Drosophila melanogaster: one gene and its partner. The gene in region 2 interacts genetically with the main gene of each other region. Each region holds a gene or a part of one and is shown on either strand. Other genes may lie near its edges.

What was found.
Region 1: of Rok (region 2) and Rho1, changing one suppresses a phenotype caused by changing the other (phenotypic suppression), as found in Drosophila melanogaster (2 studies listed by BioGRID).

Annotation. Positions count from the first base shown.
Region 1 is NT_033778.4:16,096,632-16,106,805, reverse strand, and holds the start of Rho1 (Rho1), read right to left. Parts: upstream 4,120-10,174; 5' UTR 3,914-4,119; exon of another isoform or gene 3,857-3,913; intron 3,710-3,856; exon of another isoform or gene 3,498-3,709; intron 3,341-3,497; exon of another isoform or gene 3,196-3,340; 5' UTR 3,188-3,195; coding exon 3,032-3,187; intron 1,774-3,031; coding exon 1,624-1,773; intron 1,090-1,623; coding exon 1,009-1,089; intron 947-1,008; coding exon 755-946; 3' UTR 1-754. Other genes in the region: CG8414 (uncharacterized protein), read left to right, coding at 4,279-4,696, 4,756-4,971, 5,025-7,112, 7,171-7,436; mRpL34 (mitochondrial ribosomal protein L34), read right to left, coding at 7,505-7,727, 7,791-7,813. UniProt on the Drosophila melanogaster protein: Has a role in regulating actin cytoskeletal organization: required during early development for proper execution of morphogenetic movements of individual cells and groups of cells important for the formation of the embryonic body plan.
Region 2 is NC_004354.4:16,633,017-16,643,190, forward strand, and holds the start of Rok (Rho kinase), read right to left. Parts: upstream 4,399-10,174; 5' UTR 3,412-4,398; intron 3,346-3,411; 5' UTR 3,268-3,345; coding exon 3,206-3,267; intron 2,652-3,205; exon of another isoform or gene 2,559-2,651; coding exon of another isoform or gene 2,524-2,558; intron 193-2,523; exon of another isoform or gene 108-192; intron 1-107. Other genes in the region: RpS19a (ribosomal protein S19a), read left to right, coding at 5,217-5,287, 5,390-5,789; SNRPG (small nuclear ribonucleoprotein G), read right to left, coding at 6,964-7,014, 7,077-7,224, 7,290-7,321; mthl1 (methuselah-like 1), read left to right, coding at 8,461-10,174.

The DNA of each region.
Region 1 (10,174 bases), on a different chromosome or scaffold from region 2:
TTTGTGTTTAGTTCGGCTCTTGTAATGTAGTTTCGCTTCCAACTCCTATTGGCGGCCTGGTCTCTCTGTATTTGATAGATTTAATGGGAACATAACTCTCATCTTGACGCCTACGACCTCCTTGGACCCCGGGATCCAACATCCGATTCCGTTTCCGATTCTGTTCCTAATTCCACTGATTCACCTGACTCACTCACCCTCGCATACGACACAATCTCGTCCAGCCACAGCCGACTCTACACTTGACAACACAGTTAACGAAATAATAACATACATCTAGGAGGAGGGGGTGGACAGAAACGGACACAACTTGAATATGTTTACATATATCGATATATATTTTTTGCTTGCAGTGGCTGACTGATTGATCTGCTCTGCCCTAGTTTTTACAAATAATAATGCCAGAGTTATTACTGTTGTTTACTTCGGTTTATAACTACACTAGACTGTATATAAAATCAAATCCGCATTTGACATTCTACTTGGTGCTGCCTTCCCTTATATCTCGCTGCATCCCTCCTCCGCTGATCTTCTAGCTCAAGCTCTCTGTTTTCTGCTCATGTTTGTTGCTGGTTGGGTGGTGGTGCAGCTTCGTGTATCCGATGTTCTGGTTGTTCTTGATGTTGTTGTTGAGTGGTTGTTGTTCAGCTCGTTATTGTTGTAAAAGGTGTGTATGTGTGTTTGTGTGTGTTTATGCTGTTGTTTTTGCTGTGTGTGTGTGTGGTAAAGATTTTCATGTTGTTGATTTGCTCTTTTAGAGCAAAAGGCATCTGGTCTTCTTCCTCTTTTTGACTTGCAGCGCGGCCCTAGTTGCCGTCTCGAAAACATCTCGCACACCCTCCTTGGACTTAGCCGAACACTCCAAATAGGCAAAGGCATTAATCTTCTCGGCCATGGCGCGACCCTCCTGCGGCTTCACCGGCTCCTGCTTCATTTTTGCTAGATCCTGTAAAATCAAGTTTAGTTTAGTGCTGCAAGTTCACCTCGTTCAACAGCGCGTATACGTACCCGAATTGTGTTGGGATCATTTCGCAAATCTTTCTTATTTCCTACCAAAATGATTGGAACATTTGGACAAAAGTGTTTGACCTGCAATAATGTAGTAAGGATTAGTATCATATTTTGATATCAGATTCCATATAGTCGAACTGCAAAAACAAGTAATTCGTAATTGGGAACCACTTACTTTCTTCTTATCTATATCTATCATTATAAATTAAAGGCTGAGAAGTAAGGAAATGATTCAGAAAGTCAAAGCAAATTGGCTCATAGCAGACTATTTTTAGTGATTAAACTAGAAATAACCAACAATTCTATTAAACTTTCCTCGTTCTAAACCAAAACCAGTCTTTCAGATAGCTTCAATGACATAAACAAGAACACAGAGATGCATAGTCTTAAAGATTCCATATCATAAGCAAATGCATTCGATAACTTCAAAAATGTTTAATATATTTTAACTGGAGTTAAAAGTTCAACTTTTTCCAAATTTGCATCATTACATAAAAATTAAAAACATATTTTGTCTAGACTTGTTAGTTCCGTATAGTATATATATATATAGTACCATACTTGTTTACGATCGTCTGATAGAAACTGTTCTGTAATTCCAGTTAAACTCACCTCTGGGGTCCATTTTTCAGGAATATTTTCTAGCGAATCGGGTGAATCCACTGAGAAACACATCAGTATGACGTCAGTGTCGGGATAGCTCAGCGGTCGTAGTCTGTCGTAGTCCTCCTGCCCGGCCGTATCCCACAAGGCCAGCTCCACCTGGAGAATCGGATGCGGATTATGATTGAGAGTTACGCTTGCAGTTGCGGTGTCGTCAGGGTTATAGATAGATGGGGCTTTTTGTGGCACGGGACGGTGCGATGCGGGCTCGGAGGAGAATGGGACAAGTTCGAGTTGAAGATAGCATGAGTGCGAGTACGAGAGTGTGAGCAAGGAACTTGACGGAAATGCCAAACGAATTAATCACATCGAAGCGAGGCGAAGTGGAATGACGTGAACTTGTGTGTATGTAAACGCTATCCAAACAGAAACACAAACAGAAACTGAAAATTGAAAACCCGCCATATTGCGCAGCAAAGGCAAACACACAGTGTTTATTTCGAAAAAAAGCGCCTGAAAATACTGTAGATCCCAAATGGAATATATGAACGAACATATAGCCAAATCATGACTTGATGCCCCAATGGAAAACGCACATTACATTCCATAGAGTAAGGGAGTGCGCGGTGGAGCGGGAGAGCGCTCCCCCCCCTTAGAAGAGAGTACAGGTAGGCAGGGAGAAAGAGTAAGAGTGAGAGCGCCCGAGAGAGCAGCAGAAAGAGCGGGGGGCGGCGCAACGCATTAAACTGTATGTGCGCAACGGACTTGTATAAGACAAATACAAAATAAAAAGAAAAGAAAACGAGCGGAAGGAAGGGAGCAGCACTACTTCTGTGTGTGTGTGTGTGCTGCCAACTCTCTGTTGAGCATGTGTGCGTGTAAGTGTGGGGAAATGTGCCCAAGTGTGACTTAATCACTGCTATCAAAACTTTGAATTCTTCGGAAAAATCCAAATTTGCACTCCACTTAACCAAAAATGATCTTAATTTTTCTTTTGCTTTTCCAGACACCTTTATTTATGGATGCGTCTGTGGGCATGAGGCGATATTGACTCATTTCATTTTACAGGCGAAGAAAAGGAAATACAACGACCAAGGTGTGGGTGAAGTTGTGGGTGGCACAAACAAGAGAACAATAAACACACACCCATGGGAACACACACCCGCACACACACACACACACACACACACACACACAGAGGCGGGTGGAAAGTGTAAGGAGGATACGCGCACTTGAAAAACGGAATGAATTGAGAATGCACACAAATTATAAAACGAGATCAGACGATTATCACTTGGATGGCAGGGTGGGGTTATCAGGGGAGGGGGGTCAGCCACCGGTTGGGGGTGGCATTCAGAGTGGTGGACGGGACGGGTAGTTAGGGGAGGGGCGGGCCTGTCCGGGAAAAGGGGCTTACCTGTTTGCCATCCACCTCGATGTCGGCCACATAATTCTCGAATACGGTGGGCACATAGACCTCGGGGAACTGATCTTTGCTGAAGACAATCAGAAGGCAAGTTTTACCGCAGGCACCGTCGCCGACAATTACCAATTTCTTGCGAATCGTCGTCATTGGAAGTTCTGCAAAAGGCAAAATCAAACTGTAGCTAGATGCAATGCAAGTGCAGCGGATGCCCGAGGATTCCGAGTCCGATTCTGAATCCGAATACAATTTTCGATTCCGAATCCGAGTCAGCCGTTCTGTTTTATATATTCGCGAAAACTGAACGAGCGCCTGTTCAAAAAATTATCAAAATGAAAAAGCCACACACACACTCGCATACAGTCACACGCACACTGGTGGACACACAGCACAAATACACTCGCGCGCTCGCTCTCTTTTCCGATAGCCCTCTCCCGCTCGCGCACACACTTAGTCATACTTGCGGCTGGACGGCGATCTAATAGTATAAAGTGTGGGGTTCTTTCTTATCTGGCCATTGTCCATTGTCCGTTAGCCGAGTTTTTCCCGTTTTTCTTTACGGTTTTTCGCATTCGCATTTTCATTTTGGTCGCGTCATAGGGCCGCCCGCTTCTCCACCCCTCTCTCCAACACTCCAGGAAACTCCTCTCTCCGCGCCCGTCCCGCTCACACTTTATTCCAAAAACATCTCATCATCCACTCTCGGTATGGCTGTGTGTGTGTGTGTGTGCGTGTGTCTGTTCGCCTCTGGCTGGGCGTGCGTGCATTTGTGTGCGTGCTGTGTGGAATTTTTTCACTTCTGCTCTTTCGGCCACTTACAATTTATATTGGTGATTTCACAACACTCAGCACGAATTCGACACTTAATTTGCTTACAAAATGGCACAAATTTGTTGATTCTTATGCGTCTACCGTTTAGCTATATCGTATAAAAGTTAATGCAATTACAAAAATTCGAATTGAACTCGACGATTTTTTCCCATGCAAAATGACGATGAACAATGTTCATCCGTTTCATTTCTCGGTAGCGGGATGAACGCTCGATGACCAACCAACGCCTTCGAGCGCAGGGCTGTTATTAACCCAATCGATAGTTCTCATCGATGGCAACTCTGTGCGCGTTATTCCCATGACCGACCACGACTGGTAACACCGCACATATGTTATTCTTGCTCTTCTTCTTAAATTTGCGGTCGCATGGCCCGGGAAGTATTGGTAGTTCAGCAAAAAACTGAAAAGGAATGCTTGACGAACATATTCTGAAAGAAATGAAACTGAGCTTCCAGCTCACCGAACAGCGAGAACTAGCCTCTGGTCGCCGTAAGCCGGAAAAACCACAACACCCACCTGCTGTTCCAAAGAAAAAAGTTATTTCAAAGGTGGCCAGCAATCCTGCAAAGATTTCGGAAACAATGATTCAAAAAGCCCAGATGGAGTCGCCCAAAAAATCCAAGAAAAATAAGACAGCCGGCGCAAAGAGACCTCTTTCCAATAATGTGTCGAATCCAGACAGTTCACCATCCCAGAAGAGGCTTAAAAAGGATAATACCCTACCCAAAAAGAATCCTGTAAATAAATCCTCAAATGTTGCAGCTAAAAAATCTGCAGCAACAAGCAAAAGTGCTAAGCTTCCTATTCCCAAGGTTCATAGTATAAATGGTATGCATTAGATCCAGAATTACAACCTCATTTTATTTTAATATATATGTATTTTTCAGAATTAGCTCCTAAGAAAACCAAAGTCAAGACGCCAAATAAAACAAAAGAAGCAAGTTTATCTAAGAAACATAAGGTAAATGGAAACAAGAGCTCAATGAAGGTCGTACAAAATGGTAAAGTAGTAGAGATAATTGGTACTGCAGCGGAAACAAGTGACATTGAAATGAATTCATTGGATGATTGGAGTGAAGAAGACGATTATTTAATTGAAAGTGGTAAGGAATTTTTAATATTACTCTTGTTTCTTAACTTAAACTATGTTTTTTAGACTCTGAAAACGATGTAGTTGAAGAAATAGACGAGACATTTCTTAAAGATCCAAAGATTTTTAAGGTCAAATGCAAAGGCCCCGAATACAAGTTATCAGATATTCTTCCTCCTTTTGAACACGATGAATACCAACCTCTTTTGTTGGATGGGGATGGCAGTGGAACAGTTCGAAAGATTAAGGTATTTAAAAGTGCACAGGAAGAAACTGACAGCGACGAAGATGACATTGATTATGAGCCAGAAGATAGCGATGACTTTGGATCGGAGGAATTTGACAGCGAAGAGTCTGACAGTGAAGACACAAGCAGCGCAGACTATGATAGTGATGGAGATTTCTACAGTGAATATAGCGATATGGAGGATGTTAGTGACAGCGATAGTGAAGAATTCGGAAGCGATATCTTCGACACCGACGACCTCGATTCAACTTATGAGCCACCTGACATTGAGGGATTCTTCGATCATCCACCTGTGGGTATGCAAAGAGAGCCGCTTATTATAGAGGAAATCTTCGACGATCCGCCTGTGGAAAAAAAGCAAGAACGTATTGAACAGTCAAGTGTTATGGATATTGTTGTAAAAAACTTAAGCAGTGTGCCCCCAAAGAAGGAGTCTGAAGTTGCAATTGAAACCGAAGAGAATGATGAGGTATCACTGCCTGAAGTTGTAACACCAGAAAAGGAAAATTATCTCCAACCAAGCGATGTCCCGTTTTACAGAAATCCGCAAGCGAATCCCACTGAGCTTAGCGTCTTTGAGAACAGTCTGAAGAGCAATCATGTGCTGGCCGTGATTAAGGAGGACCTCGAAGTTTATGGCACACTAGTGTTGACTCTACTCTGTGGTCAAATATCAGTAAATGGTTACAGAGCACGCAGGCAGGAAGCAATCACAATTTATTCTCCTAAAGGCCTTAATTGGGTATCTATTTCGCCAACCAAGACTAAAAAACCTGTAAAAGATGAGGTAAATTGGGAAGAACTCAACAAGAACTTTACACGCGCCCAGCTAGACAGGATTAAGACCAGCTTTCAGCGTCAGACGAATGCAATAGTACTGCTCCACCGAAACACAAGTGCCCAGCAGCTCGTCGATACCTTTGGCAAGCACATGGCGCAAAATGTATTCCCACTTGTCAATTCTTCCAATCGACCATTTGGCCAAAGTGAAACCCTGTTGCACTGTCTGATTCAATCGAGCGATCAAAGTCGCACTCTCCAAGTTCCGCAGGTTTGGAATAAGTTACAAATGCATGCAACGAGCCGAATAATCGTAGCCGGTGGTAAGGGCGTCGGAAAGTCTAGTTTATTGCGTTACCTCATCAACCGAAATCTGGGTCAATTCCCATCCATGCTGCTCATCGACCTGGACATTGGTCAGCCGGAAATATTTGTACCCCAGACTATTTCTTGCACCGTAATTGATGAGCCCCTTCTGGGACCGGGCTTCCTGTACAACAGGCAGCCGGAACATGCCATTGTCGTGGGCCACACCAACATTGTCTTGTGCGCAGAGCAGTATGCCCGAGCAGTTATTCAGCTAGTCCAAAACATTCAGAACGATGCCAAGTATTCAAATATTCCTTGGCTGATAAATACGATGGGCTATAATAAGGGATTTGGTATCGAATTGATGGCTCTGCTGGTGGATCGCATTCGTCCCACGGATCTTGTACAGATTGCCAGTCCCATTCCAATCAATAACTTTGATTCTGTCCTCGACCGGAACAGTCTGTCGCAGATAAAACCAATTATATACTCTGCGGAGGAGTTCAAGATCAATGAAATACCAAAATACACACTCCATAAGCTGATAAGTGCAGTGCCTGCAAGGGAAAAAGGAACTTGGAGTCTCAGCGCCAAGGACATGCGGTACTCCAATCTTCTGGCACGTCTCAGTTCCTGCCTGACTGGAAATGCCAAATCTCTTACAGACTGCCAGCCGTTGGGAGTGTCTTTGGAATCCCTGAAAATCCTGCATCCCACCAGCAAGAATTACTCGCGCGAAGAACTGATTCGAGGCATGGAGGCTAATGTAGTATATCTGTGCCATCACGGAGCAGGTCTGCCCCAATGTTTGGGAATAGGTTTGTACACATTCACGTTCTTTTGTGGCTTATTAATTGAATTCCAAAATTCTTTTAGGTGTGGTTCGCGCCATCGACTACGAGCGCAAGGAGTTATACCTGGTGCCAGCAATGCCGCTACAAAAGATGTCCCTGGTGGATTGTCTTATCCTCGGCGGGGAACAGTCCCTGCCGCAGGGCTTCCTTCGGGATCAGGGCCAAGGTGTGTCCAGCAGTGTGCCCTTCGTGTTCATCCTTGACGATTCGAAATCTTCGAAGAGTATTCAGCAGATCTACCATCGAGCGCCAGCCTTTCTGGGAGTACCAGCGAATCAACGAAACTAAAACTGAGCTTACTGTAGCAATCGCAATCGGATAACATTGTAAATAAAGTTAGGTTTATTAACACAAGGCTAGTGTGACAAATTGTGACGTCCTTTGAGGATCCGGTTCATCAGCACTCGTCGTCCCTCAGGCGTCGACATCCTAGCATTCCAGCCGTGGACATTAATTCTCTTCACCTCCATGGGTTTCGGAAAATGGCAGCGTACTTTCGGTTTCAGCACCGCCCGGTTGAAAGCGTGCTTATCCCGCACGATTAGAGTTTGTGCGGTGCTGACAACCGCCAGGCAGGTCCTGCAATGCCAATGTATGTTATTATACCACTCAAAATAAATGGTATATTCATTATTTACTCGCCTTTGGAGCATTCCTTGCAGCATGTTAAGTAATTTCCAGTTAGTATGACCGCATGAAGTCCGAATAATACCGCCTGAACAGCCGGTAAGCCGCTTTGGCGTTGCCAGACCATTGGGTTCGAAATTTCGAACTTAGCTGCATGCTATTTTACGTTAGCATGTAAAATGCATTACATATAGATGGAATCATACAATTAATCTAAAAAATCGTCATAATATTGGTCAAATGGAAAACCACCATATGGGGACAAATTAGATAAACCGCTTTTAATTGAATGGATCTGAAAGTAACCGAAAACTTTTTAAATATGGAATGAATATGTTTGGTTGTACATATATCGAATTGGTATTGTGCCATCTCTAGCTACCCACGATGGTTGTGGCAGCGCAGCTGTTGCAAATGAATCCACAAGATACATTTCGGTATATTTTCCGCAACGGATTCTTTTCCACCCTCAGTTGCGGTCACACTGCCTAGCCAACAACAACCACAACTCGGTGCCGTTAGGGCTGCGTTTGTTTTCTGCTCCCATTCAGCTGCATAGAAAAGAAAGAAAAGTGAAAAGTGTTCGGAAAACAGGCAGCATGTGAAGCATAATTACTCCACGGAATTACTATCTCAAACGAAATAGTTGTCGCCGAAAAGAAGTGCGTAAAATCGCGAGTGAGCTCGTGAAAATAGAATAAAAAAGCGCTCTGCAATTGAAGAGAAACATTGCTGCAGTCGTGTGTACGTGCGTGTGTTTGTGCGTGCGAGTGTGAGTGTCGCTCTCTGGACGCAATTTCTTTGGCCAAAAGAGTGGGGAAGTGGGGCAGGAGAGTCCCGAATCGAATCCCCGAAACAGGCAATCCGAATCCGAATCCGGTGCATTAAAAATAGCGCAACGAGGTGAGTAAAGATGCAAACTGCAGCATTCAGTTCACGAGCTGATGCCAACAAAAAGAACTCCAATTAGCCATGTCTGCAGCCAGCCAAAAAAATAATGAAGAACGGCAGAAAAAATACAACAAGAAAATCGATTTTCCTGAACTTACAATTTTCTCCGCCTCACTGGGCAAAAGGGGGGGCGAAATGGAGCTTGGGGAGCCGGCTACGGCTCCATAAAGTATACATAAATTGAATTTCGAAACACGGAAGCGAAATGGATGCACTGGACGAAATAATGAATAAATTATTTTGATATCGAAAAGTTATTCTCGTTAGAAAAAGTTTCGCTGAGGGTCTCGAACGCAGTCTGTTTTTATAAAAGCATATTATTTAGCCTTATCAAGCAAGAGGATGAATAAAATTGCATTAAAATGTATTTCGACTAAATTTCGACTTGCTATACTTTATTTCTCTGCGTGTAAAAGGGGGCAGGAGGCTGCACACGGCTGTTGTTCTTGTTTTGTTTGCTGGTGTGGATGATGATGGAAATACTTGCATATGTGTGTGCGTTCTGCACAGAGGGAGATGTAAAAATTGAAAAATCTGACCAGAAGCAGGACCCTCCGACTTTTGGTCCAGTTGTCATGGCCACCGCACTTAACAAATGATTTTAGCGGCCACTTTTTCCCGGATGCGAATGGGGCAGCTGTCACTCCGTTTGCCTCCTCCTCCTTTTCTCCTTTTTCTGATTTCATCTGTCTGCCCCTTTCTATCTTGCTCTCTCCCCGTGTTCTCCAACGTGTGTGTGTGTGTGTGCGTATTTTGATGACGGCACTCAGTTTCCGCCCGCACTGTGATTTTTGGCCATACACGGCACCAATGTTTCAGTACAGTGGAACCTGGTGCGCAGGAACCAAATGAAGTTAAGTTTAAAACTGCATTTACTGCGACCATTTATGAAATTTTTTAAATGAGTTACATTTCAGGTTCTTCTAGATTTGTTTTAATGTGAGTAAACAATTTCTGCTTTAAAACGTAAAACTCACATGTACATAATATACAATTGTTGGCAAAGCAATAAAAACTTATTACTACCATAAAAATAAATAGGTCGACATTTTCAGACGCAAGAACGCATAGAATGTGTGAACAATACGTACAATAGCTTATTGACACAATATTTAGCATTCAGCGGATTAACTCATCAACGTTGGTTTTTGATTGAATGTGTTATATTATCTATTTATGTACATATTATATTATATAATATTTCGGCATAGGCTTTAACTAACTTTATGCTTGCCACTGTTTAAACTGGCTTGGTTTATCATACGTTTTTCCCAATTCGCGAGTGCCTACTGTAGAAAATCCCCGGCATTACCACTCAGTTTTCGGCACTCTTTTGCGGATGCTGCGTACGCAAAAAGGGGACGTCGGCTGTTCTAAGAGGACTAGATGTTTCCTTTTCACTTCCGCCAGCACCCCTAAATTACGTGTCTCTGTGTGAGTGTCTCTGC
Region 2 (10,174 bases):
CTGAGTGTTTGATTGTTCAACTGGTTCCTCACCGCTTGGTCGTCATGCAAATCGCTCGCATAAACAAACAAACAAATAACGAACAAATCAAATAAAATGAAACTGGGAAAACGAGGAGGAACTATGAGGGAAAGTGCGCAGATTACTCATGGACGGGACGTGTAAACACCACTTTCCGGGTACACCCACCCCATCACCCAGGCAAACAGCTGCGGTCCAAGTAATGGCATTAATAGGTTCGCACATCGTTTCTAAATTTAAGATTTCCTATTATTAACGATTCAACGAATTCGAGTGGCCGTGAATTGGATATAAACATTATTATTGAAGGGAGGAGTTGCAGCCCATGATGGCGGGGCGGCAATTTACAGATCGAAATAAGTAATTCTAGATCAATTCGACAGTAGAGTACTTAAGTGCTAACACATTGACCGCAACTGTCTGCACAGCGACAGTGTAAACAAAAACAGCGACAGGCTTTCAGATCTTGGAATTGAAGTGGCGGTGAGTCAGTGGAGGAGCGGACAGACACCGAATGCCCCGGAGATTTGTCCCAATCGGGCGCTTTTTAGCGGCAGACAAATGGGCGGCACATGATACGGATACAGATGAAGGCGTTATCGCACTGGAAACACTAGCCACCATTGATAACCTGGCATAGGCATAGTCCAGCTAATGTTAGGGGAGTCCAAAGTGCCAAAGTAGTGGAGGAGGGGGCGAGGAGGGGCCTTGACTTTATCACCCCACGCTGTTGGCGACTCTGATAAAATGAAATGGAATGGAATGGAATGGAATGGAATATGCAATGCAATGAATGCAAGCCATGTGCAGGCCACTGACAGCAAACTTGCCGTTGATACGGCGCACTTGAGCAGTTGGAGCTGATACAATGATGAGCACACTGGAGGTTCTAACCGCCGTGCGAATGGAACCAACTGCCCACCTTGTTGGTGGACACACATCGGTACACAGATATCACAAGGAAAAATCAAGTTGTTATCTTTACAACTGATATAGAATTAATAATATTCGTGGAATATTAAATGGCTTGATTTTGATTCAGGCACAATGACTTTCATTTATACAAACATATTTATCAGGGGAGCCGGTTAATTTATGCATTTTCATGAATCAAATATTTACGTAACTATAGTATAGTAAAAAGCATAGTACGCTATATTATTTTATCAGTAAGTGCGGATTTTAAAATCTCAAAAAACAAAAACACTGCTCTGATTCACCAAGCGTTTCATTCTTTATAAATGATATTAAGAATATACAAATTGCTTATTTACTTTTGAATGTAAACAAAAAGGTAAGGTTCATTCTTCGGAGAGTGTATGTATGTACATAAATCATGGAAAATAAAATCTTGCGAATGTAAATATATAGAAAATTAATTATAACAATTAGGTATTTGCATACGAGGTTACTAGAGCATGGGAAAAGCGCTCTTTCAAATGGAATTTCTCGGCAAATTAAACTACATATTCGGCAAAGAATGAAACAATTAAATTTGGCCTGCCAGTGCGTTGGTTCTGAATTTCTAAATTTAAAGGCATTTTCCGGTCAAAAACTAATTCCCGTAACCAAGATTTATGTGCAATTAGCAAGATGCAAGATGTCGGAGATGCGGAGTCAGTCTGTCAGCGATTGGGAATCGAATTTCGGTGCCCAGCAAGCAAAAGTCAGACTCAGATGCAGGAGCAGGCAAACTGCGATGACAGTCGGCGCTAAAAATTGATACTAAAAGGTGTTTGAATTGTTGTGATTTCATCATCGCCACTTACGGCATGACAGAAAAGCCAAAAACAAAACGCTCAAGCAGCGGGTAATAGCAGCACACACACACACCATACACAAAAGCAAACAACTTGGGAAAGTGGAATTTTCAAAAATGCTGCGATGAATTTTCGTTGCCGCTGTTGATTTCGATTTGGCCAAAGCGGCAAAATGGCAACAACAACATAATTATGAGCAACATTATTGACAACAACAACGGCAATAATAATACATAATAACCAACGACGACGATGACGACGACGACGACAACATTATCGTCACCTATAGACAATATAATTTTCAACTTAATTTATACAACGTCGCCAAATTCGATCTGCCAGTTTTTACAAATTGAACGCTTCACATTCAACACACAGAGATAGAGAGTGGTACTGCATCTGCGTTGCAGAATCTCTTCACACCTTATTAATTCTAATTAATTATTTGCCCAGGCAGCACAAAGGAACTGTTCGGCTTTTATAACCAAATGCGCATTGCAATTGGCCATTGTTAGTACGCAAATGCCTTAACGTTTGCTTCGCTTATGACTGCTTACAGCAGATACCGAGTGGGGATGGGTAATTAAATTTAAGTATTTATATGCATACTCGACGCTGCGGAATTGCTGGGCAAATTGTATTCTCGGAATTTGGAATGCAAGCGAACCAGGACGACAACTGGTAGCTGAGAGCTGGATGCTGAATGCTGAATGCTAGGAGCGTGGAGATGAGAACAACGTACCGTTCCGGCTCGCACGAATGGAGGGCGGCGGGCATTAGCCATGTCCCCATGCCCTATACCGTCTACTGTCCAATGGAAGAAACCGGCGTGGTGCTGGCTATCTATTCTACCTTTTTGGCCCAAAACGATGCAAACGATGCAGCCGATGCAACGCGACGCCTGCAACTGACAAACGGCGGCATCAGCCACTGTGCGTTCGTTTTAGTTCGCTTTTCGTTTTCGTTTTGGTTTTTTTTCTTTTTGGTTTGGTTACAAATTTTAATGCGAAAATGGCAAATTTATTATAAAGTCGCCCCCCGTTTTGTTCACTCGCTTGTCAATTTGATTGCCGCGCTGTCGCTTTGAACATGAGATATGGAAGGTGTTTGCCAGCGGTGTATTACTTTTTGATTTGTTTTGGCCAGGCCCGTTTGGCTTGCGCTGAATTGTGCTAGCTGGCTAGTTGGCTGGTTAGGTGGTTAGCTGGTTAGCTGCTTAGCTGCCTGCTTGGCTTGGTCAGTTGAACAAATCACAAATCTGTCTGTACAAATCGCACGTATCTGTGCGATGGCTACTGCCACTTCTACTTCTACTTCGACTTCTACTATTGCTATTGCTGCTGCTGCTGCTGCTGATGCTGCCATTCAGGTGACAATTAATTGAGTGGAGCAGTCGCTTTTGGGCCGCCATCTCGTGCACTCACCGGCGCCTTCGTTCCACATCCATGCTGCGCTGCTTGGTCACAGTTTCTCGTCCAGCTGGCATGCAAATGCAAGATAACAAGCTGATACTGCTGCTCCAGCTGCTGCTTCCTGTTGGTCAACTGCTGCTCCTGTGCTGCAACTGAAAGCGAAGCAAGGGTTTAACAGAGTTCTCTTCGGGGTACACATATTTATATTGTACATTTACCTGCCAGGAGTTGTTGGACGTCTGTCTATGCTGGGAATGCTAATAGTAATGAGGAGAGGAGGCACGCGTCAAGCGCTAGTTGTTTGCTGTTTGCTGGCGATGAGGTCACGAGTGTTTCGTTGGATTTCTGGCTAACTGCTGCCACTGAACGCCAATCGAATACGGATGGGGATGGGAATGGGAATGGGTATGGGTATGGGGATTGGGCACTTGGCGCTGGCTTCTTTTGGTGGAGTGCCGCCAACGCCACATGCGGACGCAGCCGAGCACCCGGGCGTTCCCAGGTGCGTTTCCCACACGGCAGGCAGGTGTGCTATCGATTCCCGGAAAATGCTATCAATCTAGTTTACTTCCTGTGCAAATGGGATCGTAATGACCAGGATGATCACGTTGACCACGATGGATTGTTGGGTAAACAAGGGAACGGGGATTATTGTCCGCAGTCCGCTTGGCATGCAACAGTTGTGTCAACACTTGTGGCCAAAAACCTGGCCAAAATGTGTCGAATGCGGCGGATTGGTGGTGTTGAAGGTGGGCTTTTGTTTCTCGGCCTTTTGAGTTGTTGGTTTTTGTGTGCCCCAATCAAGTAGCTTTTTCCTTCTTCTATTTTTTTGTTAATTCCAACGATACCTCTGTGCACACACACTTACACGAGCGCACGCACACCAGTGCACTGCGAACGGCGAACGTAGCAAGCGCTACAACAACAATAACAAGGCGCTTCACAGACACACACACACGCGCGCACACACCGATGTGCGTCACACCGACGTACTGTCCGTCGGCAGCGGGGGAAACGCACGGGGGGGCGGGACGGGACGGGGGCGGCTGACCGCCCAAATTGCGAATGTCCAGTTTCGGCCGCGGCCAAATAGATCAATTTGGTTTCAATTAGACGCTGCGCGTTGCACTTATTTTATTTCGGCTCGGTGCTGGTAGAGATGGCAATTGTGTTTACATATCGAAGTTGAAGTATCGAAGTCACTAGGCGCCGATGAAAATACCAGAATATACCAGGGCCAACAGGTGGCGCTCCAAATGGCGATGGTGCTGCGGCAATATCGGTTGTCTGCGTCATCGATGGGCCGCTTGTTATTCGATAGACTCAGAAACTAGCTTCATGAATAGTTATGTAAATCGGTTGCTAACAAAATAAAAAGCAGTTATTTATGAATAAAGTGATACAGCAAAATATGAATTGTACTACGCATTCTTTGCCCACATTGAAAATATACTAATACGAAAATGCATGTTTAGACAAGGTCTTCAAATGCCAAGTAATATATAATATAATCTTGGTGTGCTCATTAATTTAAATATTTTTAAAAATAACTATAAATTGAACACATACGTGTTAGAGTATCATTAACCGAATCTTCGATAGTTCGCCGCGCCGGCATTCGATTAATCGATACTATTGCTGGTGGCAGGCCCAGCACTATTAACCGCAGCCAACTTCACGCGCCTTGTTCTTTTTTCCGGTTGACTTTAACGAGAAAGGTTGTGCACGAATTCTTTTCAAGTGAATTATCTTTTTTTTTATGTTTTGAATGGGTGAAATTCAATGAAAGAGCCCACGCCAAGTGGCAAATGACACAATGGGCCGGCCGTAAACACGAAAGGACAGCTTTTTTCGGGTTAAAACTTCGGCTGGCAATTTTTTGTTGTGCCCGTGCATGTGTGTGTGCGAGGGAGAGAGAGAGAGAGAAAGAGTGTGTCTGTGAGAGAATCGTGGAAATCGCGACAACGTGTTTTTGGCAGCATTGTAATAGATTCCCCATTTGTTTTTCCCGTTCTGCCCGCAGATGCCAGGCGTCACAGTGAAGGATATTGACCAGCACGCGGTTACCAAGGCGGTCGCCGTCTTCTTGAAGAAGTGAGTACTGAACATCAAGTATATTTCCACCACATAACCTCACAATCCATTTGTTTATCCCCCCCCAAAAAAAAAAAAAAAAACACGAAAAAAACCAAATAGGACTGGCAAGTTGAAGGTGCCCGACCAGATGGACATCGTCAAGACCGCCAAATTCAAGGAGCTGGCGCCCTACGATCCCGACTGGTTCTATGTGCGTTGCGCCTCGATCCTGCGCCATCTGTACCACCGCAGTCCCGCTGGAGTCGGTTCGATCACCAAGATCTACGGCGGACGCAAGCGCAACGGTGTCCACCCCTCGCACTTCTGCCGCGCCGCCGACGGTGCTGCCCGCAAGGCTCTGCAGGCCTTGGAGCACGCCCGTTTGGTCGAGAAGCACCCGGACGGTGGTCGCAAACTGAGCTCCATTGGACAGCGTGATCTGGACCGTATTGCTAACCAGATCGTGTTCAAGCAGCGCGATGCCGCCAAGCAGACCGGGCCCATTGTTATTTCCAAGTAATCACACGGCGCCCCTTCGAATTCTAAAAAACGCATTTTTAGACTTCTATTGTAAGCGCTTTTTGTTTGCACGAGAGAGATGAGAAAATAAAACCAACCACAATTTGTAAAAGTCTACGAAACATGCGTTCTTCGAATGCTAGAAACATTTTTTATGCGGTCTGTAAACAGGGGAATAGAATAGCTCCTCTTGGCAATGTAAAAAAGTGGTAGATTTATCAGGATGCTGCTCATATTAGTAATATGCATGTGCGAAGAACAATGTGGACAACAGCTACATTTGGCGTAATTAACTAGCCAATTTATACTTTTACCGAGCCTTCACATTGTTAATGGCTTTCCTTCTATTGCTAAACTATCAGTATCAGTTTGGTATTCTGCCCTTAGAAGGTGCATAGTTTCATTAACAATCCATGTGCTAAGTGGTTGCTTGCCTTGCAGAAATAAACATTTTATATCTATACACACTGCTCATGTGCGACAGCATAGTTCATTGAAATTTAGTCATGCGGACTTGGTAAGGTTAATCTTTAGATTTAAATCATTCCCTTTTTGGTGAAATGGTGGAGCTGCCTTGCTTCAATATATATTGTGTCTTGTTTTCTATTCCATTTCGACAAATAAAATCTGCGGATAAAGAACTTTCTGATATACTTGAAGTAAACTTCTTGCATTGATTGAAGACTAAAAAGACGTAGCCTTTTATTTTGTCGATCGAACATTGTTATACAAATTCAAAAGGAGATGGCCAAAATCTTTCAACAAGTAAGGCACTAATAGCCGAAAATAAGTTAAATTAACAAAGAAATCAAGAAGCCAAGCATTTGTATAAAATCAAAGGCACAAAAATTGATTTGGAAACCAATTATGTGTAAAGCTATCTGTGTTTGCATTTCTTGGAAAATACATTTGCTAGTCTTGGCGACGTCATTTAAAGTGGCAATCTTCCGACTCAAGTTCCCAATGCAGTAAATCCACAAAGTACGCAATATTATTAAATATTTTCGACTTATTTTCCAAACTGCTCATATAAATTGTCAGTTCAAAAAGGGGTATCTTTGTTATAGAATTTATTCAAGAGTTTGTGTGTTTCTTCTGACTATGAATGTTACGGAGCCTTAAGACTAAGCACTACGGCTAACGATGCTCGACGAGATCGGGTTCCGAGGCGGGTGCTAGACCCTGTCCAGGGCCTCCACCATGACGATGCTGTTGCCGCGGATAACCTGGCCAGGTGGGAAAAACGAGTGAGTCGATAGTTTATGGCAGGGTATGCTGCGCATCTTACCACCATGCCGATGTTGTTCTTCGTGTTGTCCTTGCACTCCTCCACCGTGTCGTCCAGGACCACGTTCATGAAGGGATCGAAGCCTCGCAAAATACCGGTCACCGCGCGTCCGCCGTTCAGTTTCAGCATCATGCGCTTGTCCATGTATCTGCAAGTTGTATTGTTAATTGCATTTATGGAGCGCTATCTTTTTCCCACATGGGTTGCACTTACTTTTTCACCTCTGGGGGATGGGCCTTCGACATTTTGATGGTTTAATTTGCGCAAAATGGGAAAATTAAGTAAAAACGCGGACCGCAAGCTAGAGATGTCACTATTGATTGGAGCTATACTATCGTCTTGGTCACTCTACCAACTGGTCACACTTTCGGGCGGGAAAAATATTTTTCCGCCAAATTCGCTGGCTTTTAAGTGCTCACATAAATGAAATTTTCAAATAGCAAATAACATAGGAATAATCCTTCTAAATCGCAATATAAAAACATATATACAAGGAGTGGTAAATGACAGTATTCTATTAATGGCAAAACGATTTATTTAAACAGACGTCGCATCCGCATAAACGATCTTTCACACTTTTTATTAACGGTTAGTATAAATAAAAAAAAACATTAATCCTTAGTTTATTTAACCAATTTTGTTTGCTGAAATCGATTCTTGAAAGAGAAGCTGACATTTTTTTTATATATGCCTCCCTACTTCAGGCAGTGCGAACATACCGCATCAACGCGACTTGTAGCGGCCGTGTGAAAAGGCTATTTTGTGGTTAGCGCAGATCTGCGCTGCAGTGTGACCCCGGCTACAGGTATTTCGGCATCGCACAGGGTCACACTCGCCCAGGCACCCGTATAAAATCCCCGCCCCCCTGATCGACGATAGTATTTCGAAAAAAACGCGAGGAAAAGTCTGATGCGCGTTAAAATCGGAGCGCAAATCGTGCATATATTTTTTTTTACACACCGCGCGCCGTGTTTACGACTGAAAACGGAGACTGACTGAAAAGCCTTGGCGCACAAGCACGCAATGAAAACGCAACGATAAGAATGTGATATTGTGATAAATACATGATTCGCTGACAACTCTATTTTATATTGGAATGCATTCGAAATCGAACGCAGCGCAGCGTGTGTTGTTTACTTAACGATTTTCGGTGTTTGTTTGCCCAACTTGCGGCGGTGAAATTCAGCATTTTCTGATTTTCCATTTGCCAACGAAAGAGAGGAAAAGTGAAAAGTGCTATTCGACGAAGCGAAACGGAACGCAAAATCAAAAGAAAAACAGCATAGCTAAAGCTATGTGTAGTACATAGCCACATAAATTGCAAATTGAGGCCAAGAGACAAGAGAACCTGAAATCCACACAGATCTTGACGAGTGAGCTAACGATGGACAGGAGTCGGAGTAGCAGAGCTGCCAGCAGCAACCAGTTCATCAGGCCATGTGGCCTACTGACGACCGTCATCCTGCTGCAGACGCTTGTGTCGATGAGTTTGGCCATCGAGGAGATGTCGCCACCACCGGCCGCCCCGCCACGTCCATCGCCGCCGCCCACCGTGAAGCTCAACAAGTGCTGCCATTCGGGCGAGTATCTGAACGATGGCACCTGCATCGCCGGCAGCGAAGCCCTGTGGCTGCCCATGGTGTACTTGGTGCAGCAGCAGCGCTTCTTCGAGCCCCATGGCGCCAGTCCGCGATTCTTGAAGTTCCTGCCCAATACGAGACCCACGTGCCGAAAGGACCAGACGACGGAGATCTTTCGCAGCCGCGGAGCCAATGTGATGCTCTTTCCCAATGGCACGCTCTATGTGCGGGAACGCGCTCTAATGGTCCAGCCGTCGGATTACTGTGTCGACTGGGAGGTGGCCGTCGTTTGCTTGAACGACAGTCAGCCGATCAATGCTCTGGAGGATCCCGATTATGCAGCCAATCCTCTCGTGCAGCAGGAGCCGCCCAAGGCTAGCCTGCGACTGAGCAAGTGCTGCGGCAAGTGGGGCAGCTATAACACGCAGCTCCAGAACTGCGATCTGCAGCCCAACCATCAGGCAGCCGTCGATGGACTGCTGCGATTGTCGCCGCAGCTACCGGAGGGCAGCTATCAGACTAGCTACGGCCTGCCCGACTGTGGCCAACCCGGTGGCTACTCCATTGCCGGTGATTGGCAGGATGCCAAGCTGGATCGGAACACGGCCATGCTCCAGTTGCCGCACAAGAACCTCAGCGCCGGACAATACTGCCTGGAGCACACGCAGCGCGAGGGCGAGGTGAAGATCATAGCCTGCCAGCATTTGTTTAGCTCCGCGGCAGGAGCCGGCATCCACGACGGCTCCATTGGAGGCACCATCGAGCAGGCCAATGGCCAGAATCTGCAGAAGGCCGTCCTGACTGGTGGCATACTTGTGTCCATTGTCTTCCTGTCCGCCACTTTGGTGGCCGGCTTCCTGCTGCCCGCTGTGCATCATGCGCTTCATTGGCGCTGCCAAATCTGCTATGTCACCTGCTTGCTATTCGGCAAAATACTGCTGGCCATCGAGGAGCTGAGCTCCAGCCTGCAGCCGGGCAGTGCCGCCTGCCATACGCTTGCTATCACCATGCAGTTCTTCTTTCTGGCCGCCTTCTTTTGGCTGAACACCATGTGCTTCAACATCTGGTGGACGTTCCGGGACTTTCGGCCCAGTTCGTTGGAACGCAATCAGGAGGCACTGCGTCGCTATCTGTACTCCCTGTACGCTTGGGGCGGTCCTCTGCTTATCACCTTCGTGGCCGCCTGCGTGGACCAGCTGCCGGAGACGACGCTACTGCGTCCGGGATTCGGACAGCTCTACTGCTGGTTCGACAATCGCAATCTCTCGATCTTCGCCTACTTCTACGGACCCATTGGCCTGCTGCTGTGCGCCAATATAGCGCTCTTCGTGTCCACCACCCATCAGTTGACGTGCGGCCTGTGGAAACGGGACGATGTCAAGTCCTCATCGGAGAAGTCCGCCCTGGGACGCGTCTGCCTGAAGCTAGTCGTCGTTATGGGTGTCACCTGGATAGCGGACATTCTGTCCTGGCTAGTGGGTGGACCGCATGGCGTATGGTTCTTCACCGACCTGATCA